Tamandua tetradactyla: one gene and its partner. The protein of the gene in region 1 purifies or fractionates together with the protein of each later gene. This does not show direct contact. Links are inferred from orthologs where the notes say so. Each region holds a gene or a part of one and is shown in the gene's direction. Other genes may lie near its edges.

The links.
Region 2: the proteins of TNKS2 (region 1) and RNF146 purify together in Homo sapiens (co-immunoprecipitation; 3 studies listed by BioGRID and IntAct, with this or other methods). This does not show direct contact. The link is inferred for Tamandua tetradactyla from reciprocal best matches to the Homo sapiens genes TNKS2 and RNF146.

What each region holds. Positions count from the first base shown.
Region 1 is NC_135339.1:53,497,634-53,505,281, reverse strand, and holds the start of TNKS2 (poly [ADP-ribose] polymerase tankyrase-2), read left to right. Parts: upstream 1-4,627; 5' UTR 4,628-4,642; coding exon 4,643-4,841; intron 4,842-7,648. UniProt on the Homo sapiens protein: Poly-ADP-ribosyltransferase involved in various processes such as Wnt signaling pathway, telomere length and vesicle trafficking.
Region 2 is NC_135331.1:188,537,078-188,544,418, forward strand, and holds the start of RNF146 (E3 ubiquitin-protein ligase RNF146), read left to right. Parts: upstream 1-4,180; 5' UTR 4,181-4,288; intron 4,289-5,644; exon of another isoform or gene 5,645-5,736; intron 5,737-7,341. UniProt on the Homo sapiens protein: E3 ubiquitin-protein ligase that specifically binds poly-ADP-ribosylated (PARsylated) proteins and mediates their ubiquitination and subsequent degradation. May regulate many important biological processes, such as cell survival and DNA damage response.

The sequences.
Region 1 (7,648 bases):
CCTTTACAAAGGAAATTGTAAAAATTTATTGAGATTCATTAAGGAAGGGCTAAATAAATGAAGAGATGTATCATGTTCAAGTACAGGGAGGATTTCAATATCCCTAAGAAAGCAATTGTCCCCAGATTGTTCCATAAATTGAATGCAAATCTATAAAAATCCCAAAGGGGTTTTCAAGGAACTTGAAACTCTGATTCTAAAATTTATATGGAAGAGCAAAATCTCAAAAAAAGCAAAGAAGAAGAAAGTGAGGGATTTGCACTACCAGGTATCAAAATTTATTAAAGTTATATTAACTAAGATCGTATGATATTGGATATATAAATCAATCATTGGACAGAAGTAGAGTCCAGAAACAGACTCATGAATGTATGGCAGCTTAATGTGACACTGCAGCTCTCTTCTAAAAGGAAGGAGTATTTCATAAATGGTGCTAGGGCAATTTGTTATCCATATGGAGAAAAAAGACTGGAAATTGAATACCCCAAAATCAAGTTCAGAAGGATAAAAGACTTAAATGTGAAAGGCAAAACTTTAAACTTTTAGAATAAAATAAAGACTCTCTTTATGATTTGGGGGCAAGGGAGAATTTCTTAAACACACACACACAAACTCGAAACAAAAAGATTTATAAATTCAACTATATTAAAATTGAGACATCTTTTCACTGAGAAAATTAAAAAAACAAACTAGAAACACAAACAAGATGTTTTTAACACATGTAACTGACATAGGATTAGTGTACAGAATATAAAGAACTCCTACCAATCAATAGAAAAAAGCAAATAAGCCAATAGAAAAATTGGCAAATGACCTGAATAGGCATTTTACCATAAAAGAAATACAAATAGTCATTAAACGTATGAAAAGATATTCAACTTAATTTGCTATTTTAAAAACTACAGACTAAGGCCTCTTTGAGATATCATTTTACTGATAGATTATTGGAAAAATTAAGATCACATTGCCCTGGGCTAATGAGAGCAGATCAACAAAAACTCCTACGGGCTGCTGAGCTGCATGTACAATACAACCATCTCTTTGAAAAGCAATTTGGTATTACTTTGTAAAATGAACATTCACATTCCCTATGACTCAGCAATTACACTCCTAGGTAGTTCTATTCTAGTGTTTGTTAAGTTGTAGGAATGCAATATACCAGAAATAGAAAAGCTTTTAAAAGGGAATTTAATAAGTTATAAGTTTACAGTTCTAAGGCCATAAATATGTCCAAAGGCATTCAGAGAAAGATAGCTGAAGGAAGGCTGATCTGGGAAACCATGTGGCTGGCATCTGTCAATTCTTGTTCTAGATTTGTTGCTTCCAGCTTCTGACACCAGTGGTTTCCTCTCTAAATGTCTGTGGTCCTTCACTTAGTTCCTATGGGACACAAATCTGGGTTCTGGCTTACTTAGCATTTCACGGGAAGGTACATGGTGAAGTAAGCTGGGATCTGCCCATGTCTAGGAATCTGCTCTCTCTGTCAGCACTCCAAGCATCTCCAAACATTCATGTTTCTGTCAGCTATGAAGCAACTATACTTCAAGCATCTTAATGTGAGGTTTCTTCAGAATGTTTCCCCTTTTAAAGGATTCGAGTGAACTAATCAAGACCCATCCTGAATGGGTGGAGTCACCTCCATCTAAACAAAAGGCCACACACAATGGGCACGACACATCTCCATGGAGATAATCTAATAAAAAATCCCCACCCTACAGTGTTGTGTCAGTTCGAAAATATTATGTACTCCAGAAAAGCCATGTTTTAATCCTGAGCCAATTTTGTGGAACAGCAGTTTCTTTTAATCCACATTCAGCACCGTAAATTGGGACTTGATTAGATTATCTTCGTGGCGTTGTGGCACGCCCAATTGTGGGTATTAACTTTTGATTAAGATGGAGATGTGACTCCACCCATTGCAGGTGGGTCTTGATTAGTTTAATGGAATCCTTTAAAAGAGGAAACATTTTGGAGAGAGTCAGAAACAACAAAGCTGACAGGAAGGACAGAGAGAACCAACAGAGACTTTGGAGCAGAGCCTAGAGAAATAACAGAAGCCTCAGAGCTGACAGAAACTTCACAGCAGAGCTAACACAGATGCGGACACATGGAGAACAGAGACATGGATGTTTGGAGATGCTTCAAGCCCAGTAGATGTTGATATTAAGCAAGCCAGAGATATTATGAGATATTAAGCAAGCCAGAACCTGGGGAGAGCCAAGGGAAGCCAAGAGATGAAAGCCAGCCCTGGAGAAGTAAAGTGAGGAACCCCCACAGGAACAGAGGCTGAAAGCAACAGAGCCCAAAGCAAGGGACCAGTTGTGCTTTCCCAACTGACAGAGGTGTTGCAGATGCATCAGTCTTTCATGAATTAAGGCATCTTTCCCTGGATGCCTTAATCTGGACATTTCCACAGGCTTAGAACTGTGAACTTGTAATTTACTAAATCCCCCTTTATAAAAGCCATTCCAGATCTCGTAAAATGCATTCTGGCAGCTTGCAAACCAACACAAGTATTGAATCAGGATTAAAAGAAACAGCTGGGGCAGGCTGAGTGGCTCAGCAGGCAGAGCTCTCGTCTGCCATTCCGGAGACTGGGTTCGATTCCCCGTACCTGCCCCCCAGCCACACTAAGATTGGATCAGGAAATAAGACATGGCTTTTTTCTGGGATACATAGGTGGATCTTGATTAGTTTAATGGAATCCTTTAAATAGTTTCAAACCAGCGCACAATAGTATTTTTTCCAACATTTGAGAGGTGAATATTGTTTGTTTTATGAATCTTTTGTTTCACATATGTGTGTTCAATGGTAGAAGACATTAACTGTATTTCCTGTATCACAAGTAGTGGTCAAAATGTTTCAAAACCACTCACTAAATTCTTGCACGAGTGTACCAGGAGAATGTGTAAGAATGTTCATAACATCACTTTTCATAATAACAAAAAAACTGGGAACAGCCCAAATATCCAATAGGATTGTAAATTTTTTGTATATTCACAGAATGCAACACTACAAAATAATGAAAATGCCTAAATGAGTCATGAACATTTCCTTAAGCAAAAAAAGACCACAAAGACCTACATTTTATAAAGCACGAAAAGCAAAATTGAACAATATTTCTTTAGGTATAGAAACATGACAAGGGAATGATAAACACAAATTAATAAATGATAAAAATTGGGAATATATTTGGCAAGGAAAGGAAACGGGGAAATGTAATGATAGACACAGATATTGACAGTGTTCTAATAGTAGGTGGATTCATGGGTATTCATTTTATTAATAGGCAACATAAATTTATGCTATATATAGTGTTTTGTTCATGTATAAGTCACGTATTTATTTAAATGCTTAAAAATAAAATGCAGTTCTCCTCTCTCACGGCACAGTAGTGACTCACACTCCCATACAAAAACTGGATTTCCTGAGACGCAGGTTAAGAAGCACAAGGGGAAATGTCAACCTGCCAAAGGTCAACACGTATCATTTCGTGTAAGCATACCTCTTTCAAAATCTCAGCTTCTTGAGGCAAAATACATGATCACGTAACACTACCTTACGCGTCTAAATTAAACTACTTTTCTTGGGCTTGTCAGTAACAGAAAAAAAAATTACACTCAAGAAAAGCCTTTTTGCCAGTGCTTTTACACCAGGTACATCCGAATCTCAGTCATGTCAACCACAATACTGATCTAGGAACGGGCTGTTTAGTCCGTCCTGAGCTAATAACTGTGGGAAGAGTAATTAATCAGAGCCATCCCTCCCAAGTATTAATTCAGAACTGGAATAAACTTTCATTGTTATCCTAGTTTCCTTTAAATTATCTTGGGGCAGCTCATCCAAACTTCTCATTGAGTGAACAACTGCTTTCTGAGAAATGGCTTACAAGAAAAAACTGTTTTTTTTTGTAAAAAGCAGTTGCGCGGATGGAAAGAGACGCAGAAAAGAAAACGGAAAACAAACCTTCCAGAAGAAAGGGGTTGTAGAAACTCAAAAAAGGGGGGGGGGGGGGGCAAATTTTCCATACTAAAATTTCCAAAAGAATATACAAGATTCCTGGGTCGCGACAAAACTTTCAAGGGCTCTTTTTCACTGTAATCACAGTAAGGAAAATCAACTCAGAAAGTTCACGTATTTAAAAAAGACAATAAATCGGGCCATTCCTCTTCAGCGAAAATCTACCGCAAAGATGGCGGTAGGACGAAGACCCTCTTGCCCCCGCAGCCGCGGCTCGCCTTACATTTCCCACAATCCCCTCCGCGAAGCCCTGGTCCCTGAAACCTTCCTGGCCAATCTGCGGCCACTGCGCACGCTCGGGAGCGACGTCAACGTGCGCTCCCGGAGCCCAGCGGAGCTGGCTGGAGAGGCCCTGCCAGCTTCCGCCGCCGCGTCGCTTCGGGGCTCGGGCGGCGGGTTCGCGCTGCCTCGGCCACCGTGGGGTAGCCCGGGATCGCGGGGCCTGGCAGGCGGCGCGCGGCGGCGCGGCCATGGGACTGCGGCGGGGTCGGTGACAGCAGGGAACCGAGAGGCCCGGGCCCTGAGCGCGTCTCCTCCCGGGGGCCTCGCCCTCCTGCTCGCGGGGCCGGGGCTCCTGCTGCCGTTGCTGGCGCTGCTGCTGGTGGCGGCGGCGGCCAGGATCATGTCGGGCCGCCGCTGTGCCGGTGGGGGCGCGGCCTGCTCGGGCGTGGCGGCTGAGGCCGTAGAGCCGGCTGCTCGCGAGTTGTTCGAGGCGTGCCGCAACGGGGACGTGGAACGAGTCAAGAGGTTGGTGACGCCCGAAAAGGTGAACAGCCGTGACACGGCGGGCAGGAAGTCCACCCCGCTCCACTTCGCCGCAGGTAACCGAGGCCAGCGTTCTCTCACTTCGCTCGGGACCCCACCTGCGCTTCCGCCCGTGGCTCGGGGCTCTCAGGCCATTAAACCGGACAACCAGTGCTCTTCTGCTCCCAGTCTTTTCTCCTAAAGACATCTGTCCTGGAGCTCTCGCTCTCGTCGAGTGGGAATTAAGGAAATTGAGGGTAGAAGACGAGCGTGTCGCACTCACTGGAAGTTCTTTTGTTTTGTTTTGCTTTGTTTGGTTTTACAGTATCAACAATACCTGTTCCAACTTCCGGTCTTGTTGCCCTAAAAGGCCCTACACACAAAAAAGAGTAAGAGTAGTATATCTTGTGATTTGAAAGGCAAGTTATCTCCAAAAGCTGTCGTTTTTTTCTGATAAGTTCCAGTATAATTTATCAATCCTCTGGGTTAAACTCCTAAGGACGTTGTAAAATCAAGGATATAATTTAGGGCGTAATATCTTTATTGGCCATTGACACATTGGTATTATTGGTTTATCAGAATAGCCAATCATTAGCAAGGTTCTGGAGAGACTAGAACTGAGAACAGGCAAGTTTTGGGGAACTGAGATTTAATTTAGGCTGGGAGGAAAGTAGAATGAGAGGAAAGATGGTGCAGGTACTTTAGCTTGGGTCTGGAATTTAGGTTGGAACTAACCTTACTCCATTCTCAGATTTGGGTCGTTTGCATTACTTTCTTGTAGTATTTTTTATTAGGTTCACTTTACATCTAAGCATATTAAATTTAATTGAAGAATTTGAAAGAACCAGTGTGAGGACACTCAGATTATTTCCGAATAGCATTTATACTTTTCGCTTTGAAGAAAGATTGTGCCTATATCTAAACCTCAAGTGAGCCAAGTGTGAGTGAAAGTGGGAGTAGGTTCTCATACCTCTGATAATCCTAATTTTTTTTTTATTTCTTGTATTACATGATTGATTAAGATGATATTTTTAAAAAGCAGAAGGATACGTTTTTGAGCAGTCCCATTTTGGGTTACAGGCGTTGCTTTTACACTTTGTACCACTTAAAAATTTGTTTACTTTAACCTGGTCTCATTTTAAAATGTGAATAATATCAGGAGGTATGTGCTTTCTTGATCAGTTGCACTTTTGTTGGCTTCCCTTTGTAAAGTCTCTTTGAGAGGGAAGGTTTGATGGACTGTTCTGTTGGCGCTATACCAGCAATAACTGATGGGCAATGGACAGGAAAAGGAGAAAAGTACTAAAATCAAATCTCACTTCTTTAGTCATTTTTCCTGAAATTTTGGTGGTCACCACTGCCTTAACTCAGCTAATTTAACTGTCCTGTTTGACCGTGTAATCAACATTTAAATGACTGATTTGGCAAACTGTCAGGACCAGCTGGTACATAATCCAAAGAATAATGTTACCTAGATTGTGTACACTTGATCTGTTGGATAAAAATAACCAAGGAAGATCTTGGTTGCTTCCTTTCAAGAATTTGGTGCATTAATGAGTTCATATCTGAAAATAGTAATATTTAGAGGTTAAAGGTTATGGGATTAGCATCTTATTGACTTTGCTCCCCACCCACCCCCAGCTCTGTCCCAGTATTTCAAGGCACCTTTTCCATATATTTCATGTTGCTCAGATTGAAATGGAAAACATAATATTTAAGAACCTTTAGAACCAACCCACCCCTACAGTTTATGCAAATTATCAAGCACAGGTTATAAGGTTGATAAATTAAAAATTATTAAGGGGTCTACACATTCAACCAGAAGCATTAAAAGTCCTGCTTTTAAGCCCATGTGTATGAGACTTTTTTTAAGAACAGTTTTGTAAATTCATTCTAAATTAATTGGATTAATGAGAGAGAACCTGTTTTCCTAATTTTTAAGTAAGTGCATCCAGCTGCATTTTTCTCTTACTGTACCAAAAATACATTTTATAATCTCATTTGTAATTATCAGTCATGTCAGTGTGTAAGCAATTTATTGTGTTTGTATGTATAAAATATGTTTTGAAAAAGATTATGCTTTTTTAATTTTTTAGCCATTCAAAGTTTGGAGGTTTTATTGGTGGGGGGGCATGCTTTTGGTTGTTTTGTTTTGATTCCCAGGAAACATTAGGAGTGTGAGATTTTTGCAGACCACAGAAGATGAGTCATGATAAAAAAACAGTTTAGAAAAAATTTGACCTGTTTCATCTAAAATATTTAGTTCGATTAAAAGAATAATCAGTTCTATTATTAATAGGATTAAGTTCTAGTAATGAAAAAGGTCATCAACATAAAAATTAATAGGGATTTTTCTTCCATTGGTTGTTTTTTGTAATTGAACCAGATTATACACTTTTCTTCTAGATAAGTATGATTTGAGAAATCATTTGTTATGAGAAAAATTAATCTGAAAATTGTTTCTTCTTCAGTCCACCCCCACCCCATCCTTACTTACAGGCTAAGAACAATTTTTTTTATAGATCACAAAACTTGTAGAGGCAAATTGATGGTAGGGAGGCTGCAGTTCTAATGTTGCTAAAAGCAGAAGCATCTTATGTTCTTTACGTCGTAATCCCCAAGAAAACAGCAGATTTCAGTGAAGGAAACTGCTTCTCTGAATCTATTTCTGAAAAATAAAGAAGAGATGACAGAAACTTTGAAAGAAAGTCATCTTGATGTCCGTTAGCAAATAAACACATAGCATTCCCTAAAATTTAAGAACTCGGAAGGGGTTGGTGGTAGTAAGCATTCCATGGCTTGAGAATTTTAAATATTCTTCAGGGGGTGGAGAAATATTATTCAGTAGAAAAAAATGTAAAATCTTGTATTAGGTTCAAGAAAT
Region 2 (7,341 bases), on another chromosome or scaffold:
GGTGGCAGGTTGAATACATTGGACCACTCCCTTCATGGAAGGGGCAGCGATTTGTTCTAACTGGAATAGACACATACTCTGGATATGGGTTTGCTTTCCCTGCATGCAATGCTTCTGTCAAAACTACCATCTATGGGCTTACAGAATGCCTTATCTATCATCACGGTATTCCACATAGCATTGTTTCTGATCAAGGAACACACTTCACAGCAAATGAAGTGTGGGAATGGGCACATGTTCATAGAATTCTCTGGTCTTACCATGTTCTCCATCATCCAGAAGCAGCTGAATTGACAGAATGGTGGAATGGCCTTTTGAAATCTCAATTACAGTGCCAACTAGGTGGCAATACCTTGAAGGGCTGGGGTAATGATCTCCAGGAAGCTGTATATGCTCTGAATCAGCATCCCCTGTATGGTGCTGTTTCTCCCATAGCCAGGATCCATGGGTCCAGGAACCAAGGGGTGGAAATGGGTGTGGTACCACTCACTGTTATCCTTAATGATCCACTAGGTAAATTTTTGCTTCCTGCCCCTGTGACCCTGAACTCTGTTGGTCTATAGGTTTTAGTTGCAAAATGGGATGTGTTTCCACCAGAAGAAACAACAATGATTACATTGAATTGGAATCTAAGACTGTCACCTAGTCACTTTGGGCTACTCATGCCCTTGGTTCAACAAGCCAAGAAGGGGATTACATTATTGACTGGGGTGATTGACCCTGACTATCAGGGGGAAATAGGACTGCAACTACATAGTGGAGGTAAAGAAGAGTCTTCTTGGAATATAGGAGATCCCCTAGGGCGTCTTTTAGTACTACCATGCCCTGTAATTAAAATCAATGGAAAACTGCAACAACCCAATCCAGGCAGGACTACCAAGGGGTCTGAAACTTCAGGAATGAAGGTTTGGGTCACCCCACCAGGCAAAGAACTACGGCCAGCTGAAGTGCTTGCTGAGGGTAAAGGGAACATGGAATGGGTAGTTGAAGAAGGTAGTGATAAATATGAAGTACAATCACATGATCAGTTACAGAAACAAGGACTGTAATGCTGTTTTGTTCATGTTGTAAGATATCAAGTTTAAGAATAAATATTACCCAAGGACTTGCACCTTATTCTGGAGAGATTTAATGTATTTCCAGTTATATGTAGGACAGTTGAATATTGTTAGGTGAAAGAAAAAACATGTGTTTTATTGTTTTTTTTTATTTAGAAATTAGGTATGCTTTAAGGTGATACATATAGCTGCCAAGTTGACAAGGGGTGGACTGTCATGGTCAGGTTCATGTGTCAATCTGGCCAAGTTGTGGTACCTGTTTGTCTGGTTGGACAAGTGTTGGCTTTTCTGTTGTGATGAGGACATTTCATAGAATTAAATCATGATCACGTACCTGTATCCACAGCTGATTCCATTTGTAATCAGCCAAGGGGAGTGTCTTCTGCAATGAGTGATACTTAATCTAATCACTGGAAGCCTTTTAAGGATGATTCAGAGGAGACAGGCTTTCTTTCTGCTTTAGCCAGTGAGCTTCTCCTGTGTTCATCCAGACCCTCCATTGGAATCATCAGCTTCACAGCCTGCCCCTGTGGAGAACTCTGCATTCCCACAGTTACATGAGACATTTTTATAAATTTTATATTTGCAAGTGTTTCCTGTTGATTCTGTTTCTCTGGAGAACCCTAACTAATACACACCTCTAGCAATATTGGGAGCTTCTGTCATGGATTATCCAGAAATAGAAACTAATCACTATCTTCCATTTAGGTGACTGATTGGATAGGGTGTATATTGTTCGATAGATTTAATTATTCTTTTTATATGTGGTTGGTGACAAATGCCAAGAAGTTCACTTTTTATTTATATATTATTCAATATATAAATACGTATATGTGCATATATACACATACATACATGCAGATGTGCATGTGCATTCATTCAATGCGTATTTACAGAGGGCCTCTCCTAAACGTGTCAGACACTGTTCGCAGCTGTTGGAATACAAAATAGAACACAAATTTCTGCTCTCTGAGATTTACATTCCAGAGTGGAGAGACACACACTAAAGATGAATAAGTAAAATAACTTATTCATTACATGGTGAGAGGTATTAGAGAGAAAAAGTAAGAAGGGGAAATGGAAAATGGGAAATATTGGAAATGGGGAATATTGCGATTTAAAATAGGGTGGCAGTGGGGTGCACGGGTGGTTCAGTGGTAGAATGCTGGCCTTTCACGTGGGAGACCTGGGTTTGATTCCTGAACCATGCACCTAAAAAAAAAAAAAAGAAGAAGAAGAAGAAAATAGGGTGGCAGTGGAGGACTGGCTGTAAAGGTGACATTTGAGCAATCTATTTTGGGCAAGAGTTTTCTTAGCAGAGGAAATAGCAACTGGAAGGACTTTTGAGGTTGGGAGCTTGTGCAGCCATCTAAGAAGTGAAGTGAACACTCTGCAAGGTCATGGGCGTGATATGATCTGACTGTCTTTCAAATACCTTTACTTTGGGTTCTTTCTTGAAGATAGATTCAAAGGAGAGCAAAGAGCAGGAAGACCAGTTCCTGGGCTTTGCAATAATGCAAACAACAGCTGATGTCATTGTAGGAGAGGCTGTAAGTGGTCGGGTATGTATGTGCTCTGAAGGAAAGGCCAACAGATTATAACTGAATGTGGAACATAAGAGAACGAAAGGAAGTAAAGACGTGTTTGGATAAGAAAGGACAGAGCCATTCACTGAGGTGGCAAAGACTGTGAGTGTCGGTATGAATGAGATGGGCAGAAGCCAGAGGGACCCAGAAACACCTGTGTTCTGATCCCATCTCTTTCTCTCACAAAATACATGAGCAAGTCATTTAACCTGTTTTATCTGTTCCTCCAGTTGGTATAATGAAAAGTTGGACCAGGTGAACTCTTTTAGTCCCTGTCTAGATTCAAGCCCCAGTCTACGACTTTTGACTGTTTTCCTCCGTGCCTGTATCCGAAACGTTGGAATAACAGTAGCACCTATCTTGTGGCTTATGGTGACATTAAGCGAGTTTATATGTGTAAAGCACTGAGAACACTGGTTGGTACATTGTAAATAAAGGTGAATATTGTCTCTTTAAGCTTCAATTTATGAATATATATGAAATGTTTTGCTATTATCTGTTCATGGGCTGTGTAAGATAGAGGGGTAAAACCTGATGGCTGAGGAAAGGATAAGGATACGGAATAAAGCTTCAAGTTGAAGGACATATATACACTTCAATATTCCTAAAATTATAGTTTAGAAGAAAAACAGTTTTGCTTATGAGAGCAAACATCATTAAACAAGATAGATGAACCCTTTAAGATACTGGTTACATAGTAATGCCATGAGCAAGGACCCGGAAATACATGGACTTCAGAGAAACAAAAGAAAACGTACACACTTCTACATTGGCAAGGACACCGAGCTCTCCCAAGCCAGAATAAAAGAGCTAATGACATCCCCAACGTCGTATCACTGCAAGTAAGGAGGCTGCCATGGAATGTAGAAATATATACTCTTTTATGGATTAAAACGCGTTCCCTCCCACCCTCTTCATTTTACTATAAATTTAAAAATTTATTCAGTTCCGAAAAAGGCACTGCATATGCTAAAACGAAATGGAGACTACTGCCAGAACGATGATATTTAAAACCACAGCGCGCAACCCAAACGCTGCCTCTCCTCTAACTTCAGATTCTTAAGCTGATAAATCCTTCCTCCAGCTGCCTATGCCCTTTTCTATTGCGCATAATGGGTCCCAACAGAAGGGAAGGTCCTTTTTTTCCCTCTCGATTAAACTGTTGAGCGCTTCGTAGGGTGAATAAACCGTAGCGTCCGAGAAACCCGGTTTTTACTGGAAAGAGAACGCGCAGGGCTTTCCCCGAGGGCTCTCGACCACGAAACCCAAGGCCTCTGGGCCCTGAACGGCTTTCCGAGCAGCTGGACCTGCAGGCCCTCCCGTCTCATTTCCTCCACTCTGACTCTCCCTCCAGTGCCAGCACGTCTCTTCCGAACCTCCGGCACCCAAAGACTAGTAAAAGGCAATGGAAAGCGGTGAGAAGTCCGCAGACAGCAAAAGTGCGGGTCCCCAGAAAAGGCAGGGACGGGGCGCTGGCGGCGCGGCGCCGCTTCCGCCCGTGCGCGGCCCCACCCCCAGCGCGGCCCCGCCCCGCTCCCGCGGCGCGCCGGGCGGTCACGTGACGTCCGCGCGCGTTCCCGGCCGCTGCGGGTTCCGAGGCCGAGGAGAAAAGACTGCGAAGTGATCGCGGCCGTGGCGGGAGAGGTGGGAGTCGGGGCGAAGCCCTGGTGGGGGGCAGGGTGGGAACAGCCCACTCCGGGTGCCTCGTGCGGGGAGAGCCGGCCGGCCCGCGCCGTGCCCTCAGCCGTGCCGCGCCGCCGCGGCCCTGCGTTCGCGGCCCGAGAGGGGTGGCGGCGGGTCGGGCCGGGGCGTACACGGACGTCCTTGGCCGGCGCGGCGCGGAGGCGGCGCGGGACAGCTCCACGCTCGCCGCGCCCCCGCGCAGGCTGCTGTCGCAGGCCTGGATACTGTGGCGGGCTCTCCGTGGCCCGCGGCGGCCGGGAACCGGCCTCGGCGGGGTGCGCGAGGTGGAGCCGCGGCCATTGCTGCGCGGCCTGTCCCGCCGGGCCCGCGTCCTGGCCGTGGGGGTCTGCGGGCCCTTCTCGCCCTCGGCGGTGGCGTCGGGCCTCCAGCGGGGCCTCCTGGCCCGAGGTTGAGGGGCGGCGGTGGTTTCGGGGTACCCGGCTCCTGGTTTCCCATGCAGTCATGCCTTTTGGACCTCGGGTCAGGCGAGGCCCGCCGCGCTGCCTCTGCCTCGGATGGATTTGGTCGTTTTCCGGGTGTCTGGCTGTCTCCTCCTCCCTCTCCTCCTTCTCGATCCCTGGGTCTTGTCCGCGAGGGCGACAGCCATCCGTCCGCCATGGCCTCGTCACCCCCGGCGCTGCGTGTTCCTCGGTTTGACGGTTGTGGAAGCGTCGGGACACTGGCCGGGTCGCCGGGCCGCTGGGTCCCGGCTGCGGGGTGCGGACTCCCTCCTCGGCCCGGTCCCCGCCGACGGCACGGGTCTCCGTGCTGGTCCTGTTGGGTTTTCTGGCCGCAAAGGGCTTTTGAGAGTGTGGAGACGAGCAGCCCTGCCCGCACGGCCGCGGGACTGAGTTGACCCACGTCTGGCCCGCTGCGGTTCCCCTCCCGGTTAGCCGTTCTCGTATTGGGTGCCAGTTCTCTTCCCGAAGTGTCGTTTTAGCGAGTGCTTCTAACTCAAGTTTTCAAAGTACGTGTATTTGAAGTGATATTTTTGTCGTGTTGGAATACTGAACTGAAGGGAGAAGAAAGCTGAGAAATGCTAGGAAATGCTTTTTTTTTTTTATATTTGTAAGTGATGTTTCAAGTGTTTGGCACCCCCCACTCCCCCGTGTGTGGGTACTGTTTAAATGGGATGTGAAAGTATAACATTGGCATTGAAAGCAGTACAGAATTACAGAATTAGAAGACTTAAGGCTGTTTTTTTATTTTTTAATAAATCAATCTATATTTAGATTTAAACGTAGCGTATAGAACCAGTGAAGAAGAAGACCCTCGTGGCACAAGATTGTTGATGTTTTTAGGAACCGCAAAAATTGAGTAAATACAAATACTCTGAACACACGAAAATAGGTCAAGGAAATCTGATTTTGGAGAGAACCGGAAGAGTGACTGCCACACTAAAAATAGAGGTTGGTTGTCTTTCTTCGGACATTGTATATCTTAAATTGGAGCATTTTGTCAGGCATCAGAATTGGACTTAGAATTTATGTCTCAAATGGGCCAGTGTAAGTTGTGGGCAAATGGAAAATTTTGAAGTTTTTTTGTTATTTTATGGTTATTAAGAGTTTGATAGGATTATGGTCGCCAGGGAAACTGTTTCTCCAAATAACTGGTCATTGGACAAGAGGAAGAAAAGGAATGACATTTTCTCTTTTGGGGGATATGTCAACTGCTAAATCTTTTTGTTTCAGTTTCGACCAACTTAAATTGTCAGAAGACACTTTTTTTTTTTTAAAGCATCAAGAAAATGATTTCTTGACTTAGTAGAAATAAAGGATAGAATTAAATCTTTTCTTTGTTTCATAACACTACACTCATCTGTTTTAGAAACATTTACGTACTGGCCATACACTACATGAAACTCCTGATGTACCGTTAGTTGGGACAATGTTTTACTGTGGCGAACCTTTTCGTTTTCCTGTTTGGTTTTTGTTTGTGACTAAGAAACTTGAATTTGTGAAATGATGGTTTGGATTAGGAACAATCTTTGGGTATGGAACCATCTTATTAACTGACACTGGGGTTACAATCACCCGTGCTTGTTTATGGACTGTATTTAGTGTTCATGGCTCAGTGCCTTTTGGGTTAATTAAAACCAAACCTTTTGTTAAATGTCTGTTAATTAGTGTTACAGAATTAATAGAGTGTAGAAACTTAGGCTTTGGGAGTTAAGACTTGACCAAGGTCGCACGAATAGGACAGAGCCTAGCCTTTCTTATTTACCAAATGGTGCCAGCTGTAAAAACACTGCTGTGTTTGATATGATTTTAAAATATTTATTTATTCCTATTTACTGCTAATGTTTTATTAAAATTAAAGGGCTGCAGTTTTTTTTTTTAAGGGAAATTTAGGGAAGATTGTTAAAGGTTGTGGATTATCATACAGTAATTTTTTTGAGAAGTGGTAAGTGCTAAAATAGTTCTCTAAAGGGGGCCCATATAACTGAAATGAGTTTTGACTGAGAGGTCTGTTTCCAAGTATGGCCTCTGCTTTCAGTTTTTAAGAGAACATAATAGGGAAAGGTAAAAATGGAAACATTAGGGTATTTAGTTACGTCTATCAATTTGGAACTCCTCAAGAAACTTAAGATGCATCTGCTAAATAACATCTGATTTCTCTACTTCTTTTTCTGGTCTTTTTGCAATTATTACTGTTTTTATTTTGAGTTAGTATACCCAAGATTGGAAGGTTTGAAGTATTTTTCCTATCTCTCGTTTAAAACTTTTAAATAGAACATTCCCTGTTTTGTGTATTTTGAATAAATAAAGGGTAAAAACTATACTAGTAAAATTAGCTGTTAGCAATTGGAGAAATTAAGGAACCCTTCAAATACTAAAAAAATTCTATATTTTAACTGTTAATGTGCTCATCTTTCCCATCTGATTAGTTTTAAAAATGTAATCATTTATTTTATCTATTAAATTTAATAAACACTGTTACCTGAAAATTAGATATTTTTAAGTCTGTGACTGACTTGAAAAGTGAAATTGTAATTAATCCTAAATATGTTCAGC